Caenorhabditis elegans: one gene and its partner. The protein of the gene in region 1 interacts with the protein of each later gene in a biochemical or structural test. Each region holds a gene or a part of one and is shown in the gene's direction. Other genes may lie near its edges. The genes, in order: npr-24 and nlp-62.

Region 1 (6,216 bases):
AAATTTGGAACAACCCTGAAAACAGCAAAAAAGTGCACTGAAAAAACTTCACACGGAAATTTAACGGGTTGTGAGAGGCTCTCGCAAGTTTTTTTCCAGCCTTATGGTGTTAGTATTTTCACAAAGGTGTTGCAAAATAACAGAAAATGATTTTACATAATTAATTCTAATCTTACTTTAGCAATTGTTTGCCTTATTCGGTTAAAAAATCTTGATTCAAAATAAAATTCTTCGACACACATTCACAGGACTTTTTGCACTTTTGAATCGTGGCCACCGGAAATTGGTAATCAAACTGGACTTGAAAAACGGGAAGAGCCATGTGATGATGCTCCTTTTGTGAACTTTGTTTATAGACAGGAGGACAATGCAAGTTTCGATGATCATTTTCTGTCTGGAATTCAAAATTCTGGTAACTTTTCCCCGACAAACAGTCTTGTTTTGGTGAGCAGGTAAGCGGGGGGGGGGGGGGGGGGGGGTCGGCGCGGTGTCAAAACATATTGTCAGGTTACTTTCTGCCTCCTTTCTGCCTCCCATATCGTATTTCTCATTGCCCAATATTGTCTTGCTCCCAAACATCATTTTCCTACACTTTCGATTACATCTTTTCACATTTTTCTGAATTTTCTCAATGCTCTTGTATACACACATGTCTTAAAGTCCTCGTATCCGTTTTCAAAGGAAGTTCTTTTTTTGTTGTCTTCGGTTTATTTCGTTTCATTTTTTATTTGGTCAGCATTTTTTTATTCGAATCTAGTTTCATGATGATTCAGTGTTTCATATGAAGGGTTCTGATGCTCAATGAGCAATTTTGTTTTTATGACTCCTGAGCTTATGTCCAGGCTTAGACTTTAGCCTAGGCTTGTGTTTGAGTTCAGATTTCCGCCTAAGCAAAATCTTGAGCTTAAAATTGGACTTAGTCTTAGGCTTGCTCTTGATATTAAGCTCAGTTTTTTTCTCAATTTCAAGCTTTTACTTTAAAGAAATGTTTATGCTGATGCTTATGTTATGGATTTAGTCTAGTTACAGTTCTGGGTTTTTTCAAGCTCAAGCTCTGTCTTTCGCTCCGACATAGACCTCAAGTTAGGCATTGTTTGATGCTTGAGCTTTGTGATCCGACTTAAGCAAGGGATATGCTTAAGTTTTTTTCAGGAAAAGGCTTTATCTAAGGCTTTGCCTCGGCCTCTGATAGTTAAAGAAACCTTCAGAGCTTTATCAAAAATTTAACAATAATTTTGACTGGTGGTCATTCGGTCATCCACATCGTGGTTTTGCGGGAATACCTATATATTTTTAGTTATTGACAATTGCCGAAGTTGCAGACACTCAACATTTTCAAAAAAATAATTTTGCGACCTGTGTGGCAAAATCTGTCCCACAGGCCTAGTCTGCACCCACAGAGAAGGTTAAAGACCATATGTTACTCTCTAGATATCTTCGATGTCCTCGTATCCTTTTTCAGCGGAAGTTCTATTTTTTATTTGGCCAGCCCCCGCTTAGTTTCAAGACGATGTTCTTTTTCAAATCTTTGACATTTTTCTAAACTTTTTATTTGTTTGAACTTAAATCCCATTGAGAATTACTGCACTTTCAAGCTGTCTGCGTCATCTAGCCGTTCGGTACGGTTGATTGGGAAAAGTGTGGTGCTTTTTGAGAGAACACGCCTACTTTCTCATCTTCGCTTTTTGTCTTCTCACATCTTCTCATTTATCCGTTTTTCTTCTCACTGATTCGTTCTCATTTTATGCTACAAATATTCGTACTTTTTTTCGTGTTATTGAATTAGTCAAGAATTAAAAATGAGTGCTTTCAGGAACTGCGATGTCGCTTTTGATATAGAAATCCAGATGATGAACAACACCAACGAACAAAATTTCACGGAGGTCATCGATCCGGTAGGTCTACAGTATGTTTAGGAAACTACTGTGAAAGTGTGTTTAGGAAACTACTGTGAATGAACTAATTCTTCAAAAACTATCAAAATAATATGACTAAAAAGTACTCTTAACGTTGTACAACATTTGGATTTTGAGAAACCAGCAGAAATTTTAACAAATATCAGAAAATTACTTGCTTTTCATTCTTCTTTGCCAATAAACTCCTTCTGGGGGCATCTCAGCGATCTGAAACCACTGTGTTTTCATTATTTACTTGTTTCTAGTTTTAGTAGCTGAAAATCCATAGAAAACTTCACCGAGACACCAGTAAATGTTTTTAAAAGCAAATTCAGTAGTTTTCGAAAATGACGCCAATAGAAAGTCCGTCAAGTTAACCGATTTGTGGATTTTTTACAGTTAAATTAAAAAAAAAAACTAACTATGTCGGCTGCAAAATCAAACGCACGTTAAAAGGAATTCTATTTAAAACGGTTTAAATCACACCTTTTTTTGAAGAGTTTTAAGTTTTATTTGTACAATTGTGACTCAAACAGTGCTCAAATGAACGAATTTTCAGATTAAATTTCAAAAACTTTTTCAAAATTTCCGAAAAAAAAAATTATATACCACTTTTGTCACTTTGTCACCTATCCGCTTCAAATGTTACTCAATCAATCAAATAACGTGAAATAAACAACTAAATTGATCAACAAAATCTGAAGATTAAAAAAGTCACATTCAGACCGTAGTGGTATAGAAAAGTAAACGAAATTGACCGTAGTGGTATAGAAAAGTAACCGAAAAAGTAACCGAAAATAGATTTTTCATTGCTATCTTCCAATTTTCAGATCAAAACTGTTGCTCATCTTACATGGTGTCTGACCGCACTTATTGGCATTCCTGCCAATCTTTTTGTGCTGGCCGCTATTGTGTACTTCCGGTGAGTTTGACAGAGTATGTGAACAGGAAGCTAAAAGGAAACTCAAATATCCAATCGGAAATCAAATGTTTCGTATTTTGAATTGGGTAGCACTTAACGTTCTTCCCTGACAGGAGAGTAAATCAAAAATCATGATGAAACTTTTAGTGATATGAGAACAATATCTAACATCTACATATTCAACCTTGCCGTTGCGGATCTCCTCTTCCTCTGTGGCATTCCAGTGTCCCTATTTGCCCAGTCGTCTCATGATGGTTGGATATGGGGACCAATAATGTGTAAACTGTACATATCTGGAAATGCAGTATCGCAGTTTGCCTCTGCCGTCTTTATTGCAATACTCTCGTTCGACAGATATCTGGCGGTCTGTCGCCCGATTCAGTCGAAATCGTTCCGAACAACACAGGCGGCATTTGCATTGTCTGTGGCTGCATGGATAATGGTCATTCTGGAAATGACACCGTTGTTCCTGTTTGTCAAGCTGATCAAATCTTCTTCGGGTGAGTTCCATATTTCCGTTGATTCTTCTATTAAAATTGTCTAAAAATGGACAGATTAAGATCTGAATTTTCACTACATTTTTATGTATCTAGCATCTTTCGCTCCTAAAAAGTAGTTTTGGAAGAAATCATATTGTTATAAGCATTCTAGCATCATGTTATATTATTTTTGGAATGTTTTAAAAAGCTTTATCTATTTTTTGAGACCTATTTTTGCAAAAAGATTCCCTCAATGACTTAGAATTCCGTGAACTGATCTAAAAAAATTCGAAAAGTTCTTTGTTTTGTTTTTCCAAGGCGCAAAAGTGAGAGATATAAACTTTAAACATTCAAAACAATTAAAAATTTCTTGAGCTACAGTTGTTTCAAGAATGAAAATGTTTTCATTTCCGGAATATGTCTTGTTCCTTGATGTTCAACTCAGAACTGTTTTCAAAACTAAAATTAATGCAAAAAAAAAAAACACTTTTTTAAAATGCAAGTCATTTTAAATCTATGCATTCGTAGAAACAAAAACAAAAACACTTTAGAATTAGAAAATATATTTGGAAAAAAACGGCAAATTCGAAAAAGGCGGCTGAAAAGAAAAAAGAAAAAGTAAATGCATCAAATCAACTGAAATGTACGAAAGGACCGTATAAGTTACCGCAATTCGGTCTAAAACTTCAACAAATTTTTCAGCTGGCGAGGCCAGGGGAGGAAGCTGCATGCTATTTGTTGGAAACGTCACTGTACTCGAGTCAGCAACCGAAATGAATGAAACATTGCTTAATGAGATCGAGCAGAACATGCTGGCTTCTAGAAGGTACTTAGTCAATTCTTTTGAGATGTTAAACTTGAAATATTTCAGATTCTTCATCAGTTATACATTTGCCCTTTCGTATCTGATACCATTAGTTGCCGTCTGGTATTTTTATTTCAAAATAATATTGAAAATGTGTCAAAGAAAACGACAAATGCAAACTAAAAGAACGGCTACCAAGAAACGAACTACCAAGGTTTGCATTCAGAAATATCATAAAAATAGCACGAGTCTACCTTTGAAACTTCTGACTCTAGAAAAACATTGTTTTTTCTAGGTAACCATAATGGGGCTAGCCATTGTCATCTCCTACACCCACTGCTGGCTTCCGTTTTGGATTGTTCAATGGTCGATTGAAGCAAATCTATTCGAAAAGTAAGTCGGCCTCCTACATTGCGGAAGTCAACCAAAAAGTTCGCGTGACTTTCTAATGAAGTTCCGGAGTTCAAATTTCAAACCCGAGAGTTTTACTGCTCATTAGAAACTTTTGAATGGGGCAGGAAGGAGGGGTTGCAAAAAAACTACATACTAACAAGAGAGTTGAGTGGTTTTTGAAGTGAACTCTTCCGGGTTACGGTGGTCCTAAACTTACAATGTTCAGTCAGATAAAAATGAAACTAACAATAAAGGCAGGGGGAGGGGTGATAATTTACGAAAAAACATATGCTGACACAAACTTATTTGGACAAAAAACTTCTTCCATATTTGAAAGTTTAAAAGTTTTGCACTAAATGTCGGAACATCTTGTTGGTTTCTGGAGACGGCTGATTAAACTATATGTACAAACCAACACAGCGTTGGTTGCTTGTTTACGTTAACATGAAAACGTTTTCAACATAAGAATTACTTACGCAATAATTATTTTTTTCTAGAAGCAAGTACCTGCTTTTTTGCTGCACACACTTTGCATTTGCCCTTCAGTACATCAACTCTGCTGCGAACCCGTTCCTCTACGTTTTTCTCTCAGATTCTTTCCAGAAAAATGTAAGAATTTATTTCAGAAAATAACTAAAGTCCTCAATAAAAACGTGTTTTTAGATTCAAAAGCTATTACGAACTGCCAAACCGGATAAGCAGATCATGCTCAAAAACTCCACTGATCCGCAGGACACCAGTAAAATGCTAAACGTCACAAATAATCCGTTGTACTCATCAGCAACCAATTCTCATTACAGTAGCTGCTGAAGATGTCAGAGCCACAGTTTTATATTAGGGTTAACTTTTGGGTATACTTCTGGATCTTCTAATATGTGACACCTAGTCAGTTCCAATGCCATGACCTTGCATAGCCTGAATTGTAACCGGCAGTACCAAAATATTTCACAAGTATAAATTAAATCTCTTCACACAACGCATATAAACCTTGCATTCTTGTACATTGAACTTACTTGGAATATATCACTGGTCCCACTCTAATACACTGTTTATATAAAAAATATTGATTTTTGAAATGTACATTTTAATGTACATTATTTATTTTTGAAGAATTAATTGAATAAATTATTTTCGAATTAACTGATTTTGTAATATAAAGTGTCTCGCGAGGGAAATACGAATCTTTAAGAGTTTGGTACTGTGCCAAGTTTTGCGTTCTAAATTGCTTCAGGTTGTTAGTAAGCTATGCCACTTTAACTTAGAGCACAGGTGTATCGATTTTTTCAAAACACTTATAAAACATAGTTTGTACAATTGTAAAAATTGCACCAGAGATAAAACGAATTCTTGCAAAATCGCGAATATGTTGCTAGTTGCAACTGCCGAGTGCTGCGAGGAGTACAATATTGCTAAAATGTTGCAGCGAAACTCGTAATTTTTAAAATACATCTGAAATTTTGGAGACCAAACGTGTCTTACAATCGGCAACAAGATTTCTTGAGTAAAAAAATATAAAAACTTTTTCAAACTGTAAAATTTTCCAAAAATCGTTCAGAAAAAACTGGTGAACCAGGGCAGTAGTTTTTGGCTACCGGCAATGGGAGTTGCCCAACTTTGTGTAATTCATCGGCAATCGGATGCCCCATTGCTAATATTTTGTTGTTTGTGAAAATTTATTAACAGTAATTTCTTAAATTTACGGTGGCATTTTCGTAACAAAAC
Region 2 (3,643 bases), on another chromosome or scaffold:
TTTTTTTGTGGCTACCACCCGAAAAGATCGTCACTTGACGTCAAGTTTAACCCTGTTCTTCTATTCGCGGAACTTTTGAAATTCTCCGAATTCAGATAAAATTCCATTTGATACGATTTATTTTCCACTAAAGTAGTAAGTGTTGTAATTTGATATTCATGTTTTTCTTTGTTTATTTTTAATTTAAAATCTGTTTTATTTTTGTTATTTGGCTAATTTTTATCTGATTACACTTCCCAAATCCCACTTTTTGACAGGAATTTTGAAACGATTATGCCCAATTGAAAACGTTATTCTGTATGGATTTTAGCTCAATATGTTTTATTATGGTGCGTCCATAGTCTGCGGAAAACGGGAATTTCCCGTTTACTACAGAAATATAGTTTATGATAATTGATCATCCGGTTCACAATGAGTAGGGTACACGTGTTCTGCATGTTTTATAACTATTTATTTATAACTGATAACAAGTTTCTTCAACCAATTTTTCGTAATCATTGATGGGTGGCAGTGGAAGAGAGAACAAAGATATGTTACTATTACAGTACCAAATTCTTTTTTTGCAGTAGCAATTGAGTGACATCTAAAGTAGAACGATTTTTTTTTGATTTATTTCTCCAAATTTTTAGTCCAAATGTTTTTGTTGATTAATTGTTTTCTTTTGTCTTCTGCCGGCATTCTGTGTTAGGATGTTCTGAATTTTAGGCTCTCTATTTCATTCTGAAAAAGATTACGGTAAACTTCGACTACTGTTTACCCTCTAGTTTCATTAAAATATAGAATGACGTTACCAATTACCAAGTCATGAGGCGGGGAAAAGGCGTCCCCGAAGGTTGAGGATATCTGTACAAGTAACTCAGTTGAAATAAATGAAACCTTTTTTAATTTCTATTTAAAGAAAACTAGTTATTTTAGGACTTCAAATCTCGAATTCCCGAAAATTTTCTCGCTTCAAATTTGTCAAAAACGCCGTGGGTACATCATTCGAGTGCATGACGAAACAACAGTGCCATTTCTCAAATTTGAAATCTAAAAAAGACAAAGAAAAAACGTCATAAATCCCTTTTCCTTCCACCCCCAGAATATTCCTTCTACACCACTAATGGTCCTCAAAAAAGATTTAGGCCAAAAGAAAGTATGTATTCAATTTCATTTGAATTTCTTTAAACGTGAGAAGCTCTTCCTCCTCCAACAAATACTAATTACATTCCCCTATTCGTACGACCTTTGAGCCAATTTTTTGGCTCAAATTTCTTTTTTATCCCAATTGCAAATTTCAAATTTCATAGCGAATTTCAAATTTCCACCAAGATTATATAAATCTCCACATATACTTTTAAGCCACGCCTACCTACTTTATTAGGATTCAAAAAATATAAGGGCGGAGCCTAGTACAATTTGAGATATAAAGTGGAATTGAATGCTCTAATGAAAGTGAAAACAAAACAGATCAGAAATTTGATCTGATGTATTCGCGCCGCCCATTTTCTTAAATTATTTTTTAAACCAAAAACTTCTTATTAATTACCCTGATCAGCGGGTTTTGATGGGAAGAAAATAAAATAAAAACGGTTCATAATTTTCTAAATTGTAATATTTTATATGTTCGTGTTTCTTCACTTTTTCCTTGGGCCCTTTTTCGTTCTGATGCACGCCACTGGGTGCAGCCTATATAGTTATATTTTCCAAATATTTTTGTACAAATTTGATCTGATTTTAGGTGTGCCAAATCTATTTTCTTCCAAAATTATTTGCAGGTTCTCACAAAATTAAAATCTTCTTTGTTTCTTTACAGCAAATTATGGAACAATTTAAGACGATACAAATGTTTTATTAGATTGTTTCAAGACGAAAAAAATTTAAGTTTATTTCGGAGAACTAAATTTTGTAATAATTTTAACCCTAAAGTAGTTATTGATATGTTTTTTTTTTGGAAATCCCCGCATCCAGTTCCCCCTTTTATTTTCATTGCACCCGCAAAGTGTCCGCTGCTGTGTTTTGGCAGCCGCCGCATCATATATTTAACGTATGTATAATAATAAGTAATCTCCACTCGTTTCGGGCTAACCATTTTTTTTTAACTTTCTTATTCAATGAATGCCTATTGCCTTTTTCAATTCCCTATCTAAAATTCTTCATAATTACAGTAAAACAGTGGTAAAAAATGGTGAAATTCTTCGTTTTTCTCTTGTTTTTCGCCTTTCTTTGCAGCTTCACATCAGCGATTCCTCTTCGGAGTTTGGTTAGTTAAACATTTATTTAGACCTCCCGAATAGTACCCTTATCAGTCTGACAGTCTGATAAAAAGACGAAAAGTTGTGGCTGAGTGGTCTAGTGGTATGATTCTCGCTTAGGGTGCGAGAGGTCCCGGGATCGATCCCCGGCTCAGCCCACTTAAATTTTGCACTTATTAGTGTCGTGCAAAATTTGAAACAAAACTTTAAAGGCGCACGGCGTTTCCTCGGCGCGCCTTGCGTTATTTTTGCAGTGGTAAATCCAACAAAATTGTTCACTAAATATCATAATTCACGAGTATATCGGTTTGAAACAGAAGAAACAGAATTATTATAAAATCACTATTTGGTTCTGAAAGTTACATTTTCCAGTTTCTCCGATCCTACGATGATATAAATCAGGAAAGCATAGCTAGAGGATATTTTGCTCCACAACCTGTTGATGATGATAATGCAGATAACAGGTAATAATTTAATACTAAGTTACCAAATACTCTAATAATTTAACTATAATTTCAGACCAAAGCGTGGAATTGATCTACTGAAACGTCGTGTTGAGATAATTGAAAGGAATCGATGTTTTTTCAATCCGATAACATGTTATTAGTTCAACTCCTCACAAAATCTGGTGCTCCACATTTGTTTCTCGTCAAAATTTTGATCTCTACTTGTTTTATTTTTGATGAATTAAAATATCTTCCTCGTTGCTTTCTCTCACATTCATTCTAAAATAAATCGTGTCAAAAGTATTAAGGCATGATTTAAACTCCAGTTTGAAGATATTCAGTTTAGCGAGTTTAAGCGGTTATTTGGTCCACACGTCTAGAAAACAAATGTTCTACTAACAAAATGATCAAAAATATTTTTTCCTTCTTGTTTCATCAGTTTTTATTTTAATACACTAACTATTTGTAGAGTTGCACAGAGTCAAAGCCATTTTTCAAAAATTCACGAAAAATCTTGATAACTCTTTTGTTGTACCCTTCATAACTAAACTTCCATTGGATTTTAGAAATTAAAATTTTATTGAGTAGTGAGTAAAAAATATTTCTCCACGTTTTATCAGTTTCAAGATTTTTGATATTTTATGTTCAGCCAAGTTACAGACTGTTTTTCGAAAAAATCCAATTTCGCTCATAAAACTCTTCATATCCAACGTATCGACTTGAAATTTTGAAAAATGATCACTCCTTTGAGTACAATGTCCTAAAAAATCTTTCAAAAAACACTGTCCATCTTCAAAATCGTCCTTCGCTCCGAAAAATGAAATCGGACTTTTGCTTCTCCAGAAATGGACGAAAAAATTAAATTGCGATTTTTTGGTCGAAAAAAATATTTTTAGAAAGCTGTGAACACGCTATTTACGAATTTCATGTTTATTTTAAGTGATTTTTTCTCTGAAACGACCT

Evidence for each region.
Region 2: the proteins of npr-24 (region 1) and nlp-62 interact in a test that uses a peptide from one of them, tested with the Caenorhabditis elegans proteins (one large-scale study listed by BioGRID).

The regions. Positions count from the first base shown.
Region 1 is NC_003284.9:17,482,427-17,488,642, reverse strand, and holds npr-24 (G-protein coupled receptors family 1 profile domain-containing protein), read left to right. Parts: upstream 1-1,807; 5' UTR 1,808-1,847; coding exon 1,848-1,895; intron 1,896-2,725; coding exon 2,726-2,817; intron 2,818-2,964; coding exon 2,965-3,317; intron 3,318-3,998; coding exon 3,999-4,122; intron 4,123-4,167; coding exon 4,168-4,315; intron 4,316-4,396; coding exon 4,397-4,494; intron 4,495-4,991; coding exon 4,992-5,103; intron 5,104-5,157; coding exon 5,158-5,304; 3' UTR 5,305-5,635; downstream 5,636-6,216.
Region 2 is NC_003279.8:5,853,543-5,857,185, reverse strand, and holds nlp-62 (Neuropeptide), read left to right. Parts: upstream 1-2,145; 5' UTR 2,146-2,164; coding exon 2,165-2,242; intron 2,243-2,320; exon of another isoform or gene 2,321-2,403; intron 2,404-2,606; coding exon 2,607-2,698; intron 2,699-2,753; coding exon 2,754-2,841; 3' UTR 2,842-2,987; downstream 2,988-3,643.